Danio rerio: one gene and its partners. Each later gene encodes a partner of the first gene's protein in a complex. Links are inferred from orthologs where the notes say so. Each region holds a gene or a part of one and is shown in the gene's direction. Other genes may lie near its edges.

Region 1 (5,726 bases):
TGCATGCATGTGTGGGTAAGTGGGTGTGTGTGTGTTTGGGATAGTGTGTGTGTGAATGATTGGGTGTGTGTGTCTGTACTGGTTTTGGTGGTTTACAGGGACAGAAATGTGTATAATGTTGTGTGTGATCTAAATATAACAACTTGTGCGCGTGTGTGTGTGTGTGTGTGTGTTTGTGTGTGCGTGCGCGCAGCCTGTGTCTCTGTCGGATCGTGAGGTGGTCTCTAGGCTCAGGAACTGTCTCCTGGCTCTGGCCAATCAGAAGGTGCTGCTGTTCGACACCAGTGTGCTGTACTGCTATGAGGCGTCACTGCAACACCAGGTCTCAACACACGTCTGTCTGTCTGTCTGTCTGTCGCTTTGACTGTCTGACAGTCTGTCTGTCTCTAAGCGTGTGTGTGCAGCTCTTCATTCTCAGTATCTTTGCTGTTCTCCAGATTAAAGACATCCTGAAGCCGGAGATCATGGAGGAGATTGTTCTGGAAACACGGCAGCGTCTGATGGAGCATGAAGGCTGAAACACCGCTCTATATATAATGCATATAACACACACCACATTATTCATATTTTGTAATAAATTTGTTATAACACCCAAAGCGTGTGTGTGCGTGTGCGTGTGTGTGTGTGTGTGTGTGTGTGTGTGTGTGTGTGTGTGTGTGTGTGTGTGTGTGTGTGTGTGTGTGTGTGTGTGTGTTGATCATTCTCTCAACCTGAAGAGTGCTGGAGAAACACACATTGACTTTCATCGTCTTTATTCCTGCTATTGAAGGCAGCGGCAGCATTCTTCAGAGTATCTTATTTTGTATTCGACAGAAGAAACCCATAGGTGTTTAGAAGCAGAGCAAATGAGGATTAGGGTGGAACGGTGGCTCAGTGGTGTCGCACTGTGTGCTCACAGCAAGAAGGTCTCTGGTTTGAGTCTCGGCTGGGTCAGTTGGTGTTTCTGTGTGGAGTTTGCATGTTCTCCCCGTGTTGGTGAGGGTTTCCTCCGGGTGCTCCGGTTTCCCCCACAGTCCAAACACATGCGCTATAGGGGAACTGATCAACTACACTGGCTGTAGTGTATGAGTGTGTGTGTGTGAATGAGTGTGTATGGGTGTTTCCCAGCCCTGGGTTGCAACTGAAAGGGCATCCGCTGTGTAAAACACATGCTGGAATAGTTGGTGATTCATTTCACTATGGCGACCTCTGATATATAAGGGACTAAGATGAATTAAAATGAAAGTAGATCTCTATTTCTGTGTGAACTGACCCCTTAAGTGTGTTTCTGACGCTGCTCTGTGTGTTTATTCCACCAGGGGGCTTCAGTGATCACACAACTACAACTATAGAGCAACGCTTCTGCAACCTTCAGCAGTAATGCACTTATTATAAAGAGCAGATTTATTTAATTGCTGTAAATTATAACCGTATAATTATGTATTTATGTGCTGACATTATGATGTGCTTTAATCAATGATGGTTGTTTTTAAATGTGCTATGTAAATACAATCGAATTTAATATAGTTGTATAATAATATATACTAATAGAATAAATATTATTGATATTTAAGACAGTAAAACTCAACGCTGTTGCATCAAATTAAAGCTATTTTGGAGTTTGTTGAAGTATTTTTGTATTAATAGATTATTGAAATAAATATCAATCAGGTATAATTTAGTATGATTCAGAATGATGTTATATTAATATATAATATTATTTAATAATATTGTTGAATTAGAGAATCATAAGTCATATACACTTTAAGTTTGAAGTCTTTAATTAGGAATGTTAAAGAGAGCATTAATCTTACAGTTTTGTATAATATATGTTTTCTGCGTACAGGAACCGCAGCGTTTTTATTTTTAACTGTTTATTATTATTTATTCATATTAGAGACAACAACAATAGGTAAACACTTCTTACAAGGCGTTCACATCAAAACAAAATACAAGTTTTCGCTTGTTGGCGGAAGAGCGCGGCGCGTGACGTCACGGGCGCAGCTCGCGTGCGCGAACATGGCGGTTCCTGCGACGACGAACGACGCGAAGAAAAGTGCTGGAAGTTATGAAATATTACTAAAACATGACGAGAACCAGCATTAAAACACTGCGGGGGAACCGAGCGGGTGTCCGGTGAGCAGAAGAGCCCGACAGCGGAGACACGCGGCGGGTAGAGGAGCGTTTAAATCCGCCTCAGAGAGAGAGAAGTGCACGCGGAAGTGACGAGACTTTACCAACTAACCAGAACTCAACACCACAGCCAAAGGCAAGAGTTAAATCTGCACAGAAGAGCCTGGAGGGCTTCAGTGAGATCCACACACTTTATTCATGACTTTAATGAGCATCAGGAGATACAAACACGGTCTCATCTGCTTACTGAATGACACCACGATCACACCAAACGCGTTTACTGCACTCCCAGACTCTTCCAGTGGCTAATAATTATCATAATAACTCTAATAATGATGATCATTGAGAGTTTCACGCACACCAGAGCGTCTGAGTTCATCACTGACCCCTCTGATGTGCTGATATCTTCTCCTTTGAGAGTTTGATGTTGACGTGACGTCAGAATGATTGACAGCTCGTCAGCAGTGATGTTCATGCATTAATGCTGACTCTGTGAATGAGGATGACTCCTTCATACATCCCACAGTGCCTTAGAAACACTTCTAACCTCTAGAAGGCGGGGATCTGATCTGCGGTCAGGCTGGCACATGCATGACTGGCACAGGGGAGTGTGTGTTTTCAGGCTCCTCCAGCTGATCTCCTGCGCTGTGTGTTCTTATGGGGCAGCAGCCAGGAAAGTTAGTGGGTGAGCAGAGGAGACCGAGCCTGCCGGCACTGCCCTTCATCAAGGCCGCGGGGAGGAGAGAGACGCCCCGGCACGGAGCACCGCACTGCAATGTGTTCACGGTCCACGGTCAGTGCCAGATCCAGCACACCACATTCACTCATCACTCAAGGGGGCAGTTCACTCACGAATGATCAGTAGGGAACATTTAGGATCAGGGGGAGGCCAAGCCAGCCTGAGATCCCCGAGGCTCTGCAGTGGTTGTGGAAATTATAAATTGAACCAAAGCAATTATAATTGGGTTAAGATTGGCTATGACAATTCTGGAAAACCAGCAGAGCCTTGGAATTAATAATACAATTAATAACATTGAGGCCTTGATCACACTGAATGCACTTTTAATGGTGCGAGGTGCCTTTTTTGAATGGTTATAAATTGGTTGTGAGTGTTTGTGCACTGCTTAGGGGCCGTTCACACAGAATGCATTTTCTTTCTGTATAGTGCACTACTATACTATTGTTTTTCAATGTAAACACACGCTTGACGTACGTGTCTGACTGCTACGTTGCATCTTTTGAAGCATCTCGTTTTTTTAAACGCCATGTCTGGTTGAGAGGTCTTCGACTTTCACACACAGCACAGTCAGTTCCACAGCAGTGGACCAATCAGAAGAGTGCTTGGGTGTTGCAAGCTTCAGTTTATAGTAGAAAGTTGGCATGATAACTCTTATTTAGCTTTATGGCAGAGGAGGCGCTCATTCTGGCTGTGTCCAGATTAGGCATGGGACGATATCCGTGTTCAATGTGTACCGTGGTTTTGAAAAGTCAGGGTTTTAAATTCGTCAAAATTTAAAAGATAAATATTTTAAAGATTTTTTATTTACATTTTTTTTTAGGACAACAGTATCTCCAGCAGTAAAGATCTCCAAAGACACTGTTTTAAATAGTAAAGAAATCAGTGCTTTTGAAACTAATGAAGACAGCAGAAGTCAATAATTCACGTTTACTGCTCCAAAATACTTGAAATGTTTCTCAAATTGAAATAAATTGTGTACAAAGAGGAAAAAAGTTTTCTATCCCGACTTTTAAAAAGAATATATTTTAGATAGGAGTTTCAAAATTAATTGTTTCTTCAGTCCACCACGAAGCAAATGCAGACAATTCAGAACATCAGAAAGATCCAGCTAACTCTATCAAGCCTCTTCAGCTGCTCCAGAACGCAGCAGCACGAGTGGTCTTTAATGAAGCTAAAAGAGCACATGTCACTCCGCTGCTCATCCGTTTGCACTGGCTGCCAGTTGCTGCTCGCATCAAATTCAAAGCTCTGATGTTTGCTTACAAAGCGACTTCTGGCTTTGCTCCTTCTTATCTGCTCTCACTTCTGCAGATGTATGTGCCCTCCAGAAACTTGCGTTCTGTGAATGAACGTCGCCTCGTGGTTCCATCCCAAAGAGGGAAGACATCACTTTCCCGAACTCTCACGCTCAATTTGCCCAGTTGGTGGAATGAACTCCCTAACTGCATCAGAACAGCAGAGTCACTCGCTGTCTTCAAAAAACCACTAAAAACTCAACTATTTAGCCTTCACTTCCCTTCCTAATCTGCAAGTGCCTCTCTGGATATAACGCTAACTGTACTAAAAAATAAATAATAATAATAATAATAAATACTAATGCTTTCCTTCTTATACTTTACAGACCTGAAACTTGCCTACAGCACTTATTCATTGTTGCTCTTATAGTTGTGTAAATTGCTTCCTTGTCCTCATTTGTAAGTCTCTTTGAATAAAAGCGTCTGCTAAATGTAAATGTAAAATTTGGTATCGGTTGAGTAATAATCATAACCGCTTACTATATACTGATGTCATTTATCTCATTTGCACTATGTTTTGTAGCTTACTATGGCGAGGGAGGCGAGCGCGAGTATTTACTACGCTCCAACTACTTAAAAACGCAGAAACTGTGCACAAATTTGACTGCGTGTGTGTTTGCTGGACAGTTTCCCTGACACTTACAGCAGAAGCTCCATTTCACTGCCATTGAGAGAATGAAAGTAAACTCCATTTCTCTCTCTCTCTCTCTCTCTCTCTCTCTCTCACTCTCTCTCTCTCTCTCTCTCTCTCTCTCTCTCACTCTCTCTCTCTCTCTCTCACTCTCTGTCTCTCTCTCTCACTCTCTCTCTCTCTCTCTCTCTCTCTCTCTCTCTCTCTCTCACTCTCTCTCTCTCTCTCTCACTCTCTCTCTCTCTCTCTCACTCTCTCTCTCTCTCTCTCTCTCTCTCTCTCTCTCTCTCTCACTGTGGCCCATTTGACCTGCTGGCGTGACTTTTCCTCTCCTCCTGGCTGTTACAGTGATACCTCTGTATACAGACATGAGCGCGTGTCTGCAGAGTTTTCTCCACCGTGTCTATGATGGATCAGCTGTGATCGCAGCCAATCGCAGCCCTTTCTGTTGAGCGCATGACCAATCAAATGAGTGTAAGAAAGAACTCGCTAGACAAGGTTCAGATCGCGAGCTGGATATTTATATTTGTTTATTTGCTATAAATGCTCGTGTTGTTTAAAGGTACAGTTTATATATCTGACTGTTAGTATTAAAGGACACAATTGCATTACAAATAGTATATAAATATATTTATACATTTTAATACAAGAAGTGTAGGTTCACAGCTCTTATCTCCATACTGTGATATTACACAACTTTGATGTGCTGACCCCCCCAACTTTAATCAGGAGGTGAACACAATACCTCATTCTCCATCTGAAGCTCCTTTACGAGACTCCACACTTGTAAACACTTGCTCCATCGGGCTCGCGGGGCTCTCACCTCACCCACACTCATTACCGCTACCAAGTTGTCCAGTCACAGAGCTTGCGCTATGTATCACTGCGATGTGTAGTTAAATCTTTCGAGAGGTCAGCATCGGAAAAAGGTCCTAAATTGGACATTGAT
Region 2 (4,060 bases), on another chromosome or scaffold:
ATTTTGAGGTCCCAGTGCTCCCTGAAAGCCCGCTCTCAACAACATCCCAAAGACCTCTTTCTGACAGCATCTTACCTTCTCCTCCTTTTTCCTCCGGTCGACCATCCATATCAAAAACTGACAGGTAATTAAATCTCCTTTGTAGTTTCTAAGATGAAACCTCTCTCCTTGAATGAGACTCACCGAAATCTTATCTTTTATTTTAGCTCAGCCTCCTCTGATGACTTCGGGGTGACAATAGTTGTTAAATCAGCTCCTGTGAACCGCGACGCTGTTGTGTGGGACAACGATTCTGATCCAACCGATCAGCCACTGACACAGGATCACATGCCCACAGCACTTCCTCGTTACACTCCGGTACTCACTCCGAGCCAATCACAGGTTATGCCACAGATCTCCTGCATATCCGAGCCAACTCAGGATCTGCCCACCCAGGAGCCCACATTGAAGATCGCTGGTCCTTATAAACGTAAGTCTACAGTTATAAAAGCTTTTGCTTTAAGGTCTAGTAGGAGAAACTAAAATTCCAGTTGATTTCTGCAGCAAGGAGGTCATTCATCCAACAAAAGGCACCAAACTACACCAAAGGCCTTCTTGTAAGCCCAGCAATGTCATTCCCAACAGCCCAGACAAAGTTGCCTCCTGTTCCATTGCCTAGAGGCTCAGAAATAAAACCACCACTTTCACCCAAGCCAGAAACCATGTTAGTACCACTGCCTACATTACCTGAAGGAGGACCACCAAAGAAACCTCAAGGCAGAAGACCCAAAGTTCCTCCTCCACAACCACCGCAAGCATTGAACAAGCAGCTCTCATCTTCTGCTCAGTGAAGCCCAAAGGATACTTCATTTCTTTATCTATGAAGAAAATGTAAGTTAGCATAAGTGTGCAGTAGCATGCACAGCCTTTCACAATTACTCTGTGTGACAGTGTGCACAAACACAGACACTTAACACATGTGCAAGAAAAAGATTCATGTCAGTGTCTCCTAGTGTGATTTATGCCCAGTTAAAAAGAGATTCTGTAGCCAGATTTTGACGCCGTACATTTGGCATCAGGCATGTGTGACTCTTGGGATTGAGTTCAGCACAACACACCTGTAAATTATGGGTGCTTCTCAATGTCTCTACTTATTTTCTCGTTCCTCTGTCCTACGACAGCAAACACCGATCAAGTTCAGCCATCTTGTAGCTATCTTAATTCTCTAAATGCACATTATGATGTCATGAGAAAGGATTCTTTGCGGATGTTTTTATTGACTAAACATGACCCAAGTTATATTAAACCAATTGGCTTGACTATGTCTCCCAGTTACGTTTCACATTTTCTACAATGTAATGTACTTTTCAGCACAAATTAAAATCAGTTAATAACTTATATTAATTATTCATTATTAAAGTCTGAAAGTTGATGCACTTCCAACTGAAATGGAATTTTAAGTAGGGGGCGGGGCTTTCTTTTTGCGCATTATTGCCTCATCGCAAACACAATGAATGTTGTGGCTAAAGCCGCCAAACTGACGTCGACAGAGAAGGACTATCTCTCCAAACTTGAAAGCAGGTGGTCAGACTTTGATTGAAGATTAACAAAACAACCTTTTTTTTTTTGTAGATTAACTTGCACTGTTAAATTGCTCACCTTAAGAATCTATTTTGATTTCATACATTTTAATTTATATAATTGATTTTAGTAATAACTGGCAAAATTAAATAAAAAAAACAAATGTGGGGTTTTGTGGATGTTGAAACCAGTACAATATAAATGATGATTTTTAATATTCAAGAGTCCTGACTTGAAACCAAAATCAGGGTTGTAGAGGATTCATTAAATGAGGATGCCTTGAAATGATGCCAAAAGTCAGGAGACATTACATCACATGATTCAGTTACTCTATCCTCGCATCTTTTTCTTAGCTCCACCCCTAAGAAATGATGTAAGACACAAGGCAAGGAAATGAGGATATACAAATAAGATTTGCGAAGCACCCTATGTTTGAGAAGAGATGGGCTAACCTCTTTACCTATTCCAAATGTTAAATATATCGCCCTTCAAAGGGCAATTTGAAGTGAAAGTCAATATGGCTACCGTATTAAAGTGTCATTCCAAACCAATGTGCTAAAACTGGCCACTTTAAAGGGCCTTAAGGCATTAAGGATTTCAAAGGGTACAACTGATGGACACTTATAATCCTTTGCTCAGGGAAGATGTTTGGTGTCACACATTGCTTTCTGTTCGGATGGGCTCATCTCTATGCTTTAATCCTTTCGACGCTGTCCCTCTGGAGTGTTAATGCATTGAAGGCACAAAGGCATAGGGATGAACCCTTCCGAATGTAATGCAGTAACTGTATAGAACAGGAGTCAAACTCAGTTCCCGGAGGGCTGCAGCTTTGCACAGTTTTGTTCTAACCCTAATTAAACACACCACATTAAAACTAATTGAGTCATTCAATCTTGTTTGAAACCTCCAGGTAAGTGTGTTGAAGCAAGGGTGGAACTAAACTGTGCAGGGCAGCAGCAGTAGTAGCCCTCCAGTATCTGGGTTGCTATATATATTCTCAATTTCGGTTCTGGAGGTCCGGTGTCCTGCAGATTTTAGTTCCAACCCCAATCTGACACACCTGGGCTAGCTAATCAAGCTCTTATGCCGCAGTCACACTAGAGTTTGAGCTTGCGGAATTCTGTCGTACGGCGCTGCAAAAAGGGGCGGGATTAAACAAGATGTTTAGACATTTAAAAAAGCGAACGATTGATTCATATTTTAAATTTCTGTCCAGAGAAATCATGTTTTGATCATCGATTGGCCTCATGCAGTCAGGTTATGTGATTTCGCAGGACAGAGTTCAACAAGCTTGAACTTTGCAATGCAGCGAACTGTGAAACTTTCCGCACTATGATCTGACACATTCGCATGCTTATGATTGGAAGACTATGTGGAGAAAAGTCTAGTTTGACCGCAGCTTCACTATATGCTTTCTAGAAACATCCTTGCAGGTGTGTTGAGGCAAGTTGGAGCTGAAATCTGTAGGACACCGGAACTACAGGACTGAGTTTGAGAAGTCCTGCCATAGGGTGTCATGGTGGTTTGTAATCAGGTTCTGTGACATTGACCAAAAGGAACAAAGAAGGTTTTTCATACACCACTTTCAGACTCGGTGAAAAGAGATAATGCTGCTATCTGGAAGCACAACCCTTCACTCTCCATTGCTTGTTTTCAGAAGTTATTCTACATTCACATTATCAGCAATAATTTGCCGAGATGCAATGTGTTATCTGATTCTGACATTTCATTTTCATGACAGAACAAGAATTTTGTAATCAGAACCACAAAATCTGACACAATTGTAACTTAGTAGGTCCTACAATTCAATTAAAAATCACTTCATTGTTCCATATAGTATGACTATCTATATTTTAAATCAGGGGTGTCCACACTCAGTTCTAGAGGGCCATTGTCCTGCAGAGTTCAGTTCCAACCCCAATCAGACACACCTGGGCTAGCTAATCAAGCTCTTTTCTAGAAACATCCATGCAGGTGTGTTGAGGCAAGTTGGAGCTAAAATCTGCAGGACACCGGCCCTCCGGGACTGAATTTGGACACCCCTTGTGTAAATGGAATTCTGACATACTAAATCCCCCATGTTGTCCTTATCACGTGATCACTTATTGTACCTGTGATTCACAATACTTTACAGCTCCTCTCTCAAATGTGCACTTTAGAATCTCTTTGGAGGAAATAGGTCTCCCATGTCTAGTAGTAGATGTACTACTCATCTGATGTTTTTCGATGCTATGCATTCGGACATACTAATAGGCTTTCATGCTGATTTTCCACATATTAGGAAATTTAGAGCACAAAACAAAATTACAGTAGTCTGAACGTAGCATTACACATCCTGAAAAGTGAAGCCAAAATATTCTGATCCCTCTAGTGGCTGGCTGCATTATAAATCATTCCCGTTCTAGTGTACATATAAACACAGAAGTATACTTTGGATCTGAGTCTTGGAAAGTGGAGTGGAAAAAGCACTGGTTTGTTATGACATCTAACTCTTTGTACT
Region 3 (4,442 bases), on another chromosome or scaffold:
CTATTCCTGACAAACACTAATGTGACTTAGCTTTGAATTGCAAGTAAATGTACACAATGTTTGCTTCAAAAAAGCACATTAATGTGTTATAAGTCATTCATACTGCTCAGTGGGTTATTTAATATTTTCTGAAGCAAAGTGTTAAGTTTTTGAAAGAAAAAAAATGCTTATTTAAAAGATTATAAGCTCATATAAACTGGAGCTGCACAATTATTTAAACACAATGTTCATGCACGTCGTTTTGTGAGTAAAAGCCAGCTCTGTGGTCAGTAGTATATCTCCAGCTTTCAAATGGAGCACCATTTACTAGTTACTCATAGTTCATGATCTGTTTGGTAAATGCAGCTACATCTAAAATCAAATAAAGATACCACATTTAACATGTTTTAACTTCCAATTTGTCTTTGAGATAATGTGGCTATTTCTGTTCAATAACTTTGTGTTCACACCAAAGGCGCAAGAGCATCAGAGTTCTCTCTGGCTTTCACAGTTCCAGCGGCGAGAGCGTCAAAAATCGATACATTAACCCCGTATTTAAAGGAGCCGTTGCAGCATATCAGCAAATTAGTTACGTTCCCACATAAAAATGTGTATTTTAGTAAGAAAATGTTGCGCAGCTTTTTAGTAAATTCATTTAACTACAGAAGATCCAGTTGTTGTATGTGCAGTGGCTTTCCTCCACTTATCCAATATGTGTCCAAATGTCTGAAATATTCTGAAGCAGCAGTACGGTTTTGTACTGTCGTTAGTTAGCATGCATTTCCCGTACGAAATAAAATAAAATTAATTAATGCACATCAGTAACTTTAAAAAAAAAAATTTGTATTTAAGTCCCTGTAAAAAAAACATTGCAACTGCAATACTAAAACCCTTGGGAACAACTGTGGTCGGAATCAAAGTTTACAGGACTGTGTTCTCTGGACTCATCTCAAGCGGTGAACTTCTACATTCTGATTGCTTGCCCTCGAACCGTGTCATAGCTTATTGCAGTAAAGTTGACTTGATTTAAACATTCCTCGACGTCAACGAAAACACGCTGCTCCTCTATGCTTATCGCCACCAGCTCTCATTGAAAGTGAATGACCTCGGGCTACTTTGATGCTCTCCCAGCTTTCGGTGTAAATGCACAGTAAAGCATGCATAAGATTTCGTTGTATTCTTGCATTTTTATGTACTTCATTATCAGAAAAATTACAACTCAATTACACCACATTGTTGTAGCTGTGTGTTTTCAAAGAAAAAATGTCAAGGACATTGAATCTTTCAATGAATCAATCAATCGTAACATTGAATCAATTTTTTTGAGTTTTTTCTTTAAATCTCCTATTTATTCTGCAACCGCTTTATGCCGCCTTTCCACTGCACACGACCTGTGACAGACCGGAAGTCAATCATTTCCAATGGAGAGTAGCCCAGAGCTGCATGGCGTTTCAATCATCTTCGTATGCGACCGGCCGACCGGATGTGATGAATTCCAGTGTTGTCCAAGCAGGTTCGAGTGCGCAAGATGAGAAATACTAGTTTTTTTCATTTATTCAAAATTTTTAGCGGTCTATGATTTTCTAGTATTCATTCATTCAACCATGGTGAACGCACGGAAAATAAAAACGCTTTTTCAGACACTGCGAGAACAGCTTCTCTCTCATGGTGCATGACAAAACAGAAAATTCTGTGCGACTGCCACAAGGGGGCATATTCCGACAGTCATGTCCAAATGTCTTGTGCAGTGGAAAGGCGACTTTAGGGATTCAATTGGGTTTCTTCTTTAACATTTTTAATTTCCACACGAGAGCACCCTCTGGCCTTGGAATGGAGATTTACTACTGATCACAGAACAGAGCTTCCCTGACAACATCTGTATAACAGCTGCAGCTTTTGCTAAATCACAGTTTGTAGCAGAAGCTAAAGTAACAAATGATGCCTATGAGTGATGTTGCGGTCACACTAGAGTTTGTGTGTGCGAGATTCTGTTCTACGGTGCTGCGAAAAGGGGCGAGATTAAATAAGATAATTAGACATTTAAAAAAGCAAGTTATTGGTCCTTGTTTTGATCTTCAATTGCTCTTACGCAGTCATGTGATGCGATTTCGCAGGTCAGAGTTCACCAAGCTTGAACTTTCCAACACATAGAACTGCGAATCTTGTCGCACAAGCTTGTGTTTCTGGTCTGATGCATTCGCGTACGTATGAACGGAAGTCTATGGGGAGAAAAGTGCAGTGTGACCGCAGCTTTAGCTCTGAATTGTTTTGTTGACCTATCAGAAGTCAATTATAAGTTATAGACTTTAAAATATGTTCATTTTTCTTACGAAAACATGCTAATTATCTTCAGAATGTATTCATTAATCCACAATTAATATAGATTACTTTAATCAAACATTTGGGTTTGGAGCTTCAAAAACTAGTTTATAATTTGATACAATGATCTGCTTCATCTGAAATGCAAAAAGCATATCTAAAAGTACATTTTGGAATAATTGTTTTAATTGTAAACTGTTACTTTAACATTTTATAAAAACATTTATAGTATAGGCGCCTCCTAGTGGAACTAGGTTTTCTAAAGTTTGCTATTTTGTGCATCATACTAACAAACGCTTTTGTTGTTGGATTTTTTAGGTCGGCGACATGGTAAAGGTGACCAAGATCAATGTAAACGGGCAGTGGGAGGGTGAGTGCAAGGGAAAGCATGGCCATTTTCCCTTTACCCACGTCCGCTTGCTGGACCAGCACAATCCAGAGGACGAACTAAGCTGAGAGAGCAGACTGTCTTACCTAGCAGCCCTTAGATGTACACTCACACACATACACACACACACATACACACACTCCGGCTCCTCACACATCCTCACTACTGCCCTTTACCTGTCCGCCTCATCATTACCTTGTGCCATTGTGTCTCATGCCAATGTACACAATTCCCTTGTTAGGTTTTATGCAATAATTAAAGATATTTACCAAGTAAACACTAAATTTCACATACAACACCATACACTACAGAGAGAGGAGCATTAGTGTGGGGCTTCTTGTGAACTGAGAAAAGAAGATGAAGAAGCCTACGTGGACTTAAAACATGAGCGGTTTTTGGTGTCTTAACAAGGGACTGTTCCTTTGCTTCTTTGAATGCGGTAGCAAACACTACTTGGTGTCCTAGAACACAGCGGCTTTCACACTACAAACTACATGAAAATATCCAGAACAAATGAGCTTTGAATAGTTTTTAGTCTTTTTGATTAGCTTGGCGCCACCCAACGGTGTCATGAAGCGGTTCCTACTAGGGCGGTACACTATATATGAAAGATGGAGAAGCCCGAACCCTCACCGCCTTGTTTTATTTATGCACATGTGTAATGTATACAAGATGCGTCATTATTCACTACCGCTAAGTAACTTTTGTTTTACTACATTTTCATTATATAATATCAGGAAACGCTACTTGCTCCTTTTACCATTATTGCTGTACTTGGAAGTATTACACTAAATGAGAATCTGTTGAATGTGTAACCCTAATTTCTAATGCTAGACTCAATTCCTCAACATACGGTAGACTCATTTGATTTTTGTTGTTGTTTCTAAATAAGAATCCAATATTGTGATATTTACACTCAAAATAGCCAATGTGTTTTTGCCAAAACTTCCCTTTGCCAAGGTTGAAAATACAAGTGGTGGTTGTAGTGAATCTCTCATATAGAGTGGTCCAAAACTATGTTATGATCTTTCTAAATCAACCCATTATTAATATAATAATGTGGTAGGATTTTATAAAGTGTCACATTAACCTGACCTAATGCCTCAAATGTGTTTTGCTCAATTGATTTTGCACATATGAGTAGCCTTTCTCTACGATTGGTATATGTATTGATTTTATTTTTAAACATCAGTCTCCATCATGCCTATGTTATCTGTCTCAATGCTAGAAATGTAATGTATTTTCACATTTAATCCCCAAATAAGACATTGCTATCCTAATGGCCTGCCTTAATTGCAGATTGTTGTCTATGACCAAATCAGCAATGTCTTTAGCCTAATTAGTTAAATGCAAAACGTGGGGGAAGGGAGTGGAGAATGTTTTGTTTTGGTCTTGCAAAATATTTTAATTGTATTTTTTACCCTAATTCCATTACTATTAAACAACATATTCAGAGATAGAAGCCGAATGTCTGAACAAATGATTACTCTAATAGACAGGCTGCCAGAACAACACTATCAAATCTTAATGCTTTTACCCTTTACCTTTATTTGTTGTTACTTTTAAAAGGAAAAAAGTTGACTAACTTTGTTTGGTAACAATGACAATCACCTGGAAACTCTTCTGTTTTGTCATACCTTAATGTTAGAAAGCTATGTCGTGTATGTGTGTAGGTTAGCTGTATGTTGTCAAGATGTGACAGCAAGCCGGCCATGTTATGTAATTGTCACAAGTCGTAATTATGAAGGACTTTGAT

Evidence for each region. The genes of interacting proteins can lie anywhere in the genome.
Region 2: the proteins of abl1 (region 1) and sh3bp1 are in contact, whole or in part, in a crystal structure (PDB 1ABO), measured with the Mus musculus proteins. The link is inferred for Danio rerio from reciprocal best matches to the Homo sapiens genes ABL1 and SH3BP1. Residues at the interface, in NP_033724.2 of Mus musculus: Tyr70, Phe72, Ser75, Gly76, Asp77, Thr79, Asn94, Glu98, Trp99, Trp110, Pro112, Asn114, Tyr115; in NP_001303613.1 of Mus musculus: Ala607, Pro608, Thr609, Met610, Pro611, Pro612, Pro613, Leu614, Pro615, Pro616.
Region 3: the proteins of abl1 (region 1) and crk are in contact, whole or in part, in an NMR structure (PDB 1JU5), measured with the Homo sapiens proteins. The link is inferred for Danio rerio from reciprocal best matches to the Homo sapiens genes ABL1 and CRK. Residues at the interface, in NP_005148.2 of Homo sapiens: Tyr70, Phe72, Asp77, Asn78, Thr79, Asn94, His95, Asn96, Gly97, Glu98, Trp99, Trp110, Pro112, Ser113, Asn114, Tyr115; in NP_058431.2 of Homo sapiens: Pro44, Asp46, Asn63, Gly66, Pro67, Arg68, Pro69, Pro70, Val71, Pro72, Pro73, Ser74, Pro75, Pro80, Gly81, Ser83, Pro84, Ser85.

Annotation. Positions count from the first base shown.
Region 1 is NC_133180.1:78,511,463-78,517,188, forward strand, and holds the start of abl1 (tyrosine-protein kinase ABL1), read left to right. Parts: upstream 1-1,975; 5' UTR 1,976-2,769; coding exon 2,770-2,905; intron 2,906-5,726. Other genes in the region: exosc2 (exosome complex component RRP4), read left to right, coding at 194-322, 438-518. UniProt on the Homo sapiens protein: Non-receptor tyrosine-protein kinase that plays a role in many key processes linked to cell growth and survival such as cytoskeleton remodeling in response to extracellular stimuli, cell motility and adhesion, receptor endocytosis, autophagy, DNA damage response and apoptosis.
Region 2 is NC_133187.1:20,897,856-20,901,915, forward strand, and holds part of sh3bp1 (SH3 domain-binding protein 1), read left to right. Parts: coding exon 1-124; intron 125-206; coding exon 207-469; intron 470-543; coding exon 544-830; 3' UTR 831-4,060. UniProt on the Homo sapiens protein: GTPase activating protein (GAP) which specifically converts GTP-bound Rho-type GTPases including RAC1 and CDC42 in their inactive GDP-bound form.
Region 3 is NC_133190.1:27,220,666-27,225,107, forward strand, and holds the end of crk (adapter molecule crk), read left to right. Parts: intron 1-2,616; coding exon 2,617-2,754; 3' UTR 2,755-3,026; downstream 3,027-4,442. UniProt on the Homo sapiens protein: Involved in cell branching and adhesion mediated by BCAR1-CRK-RAPGEF1 signaling and activation of RAP1.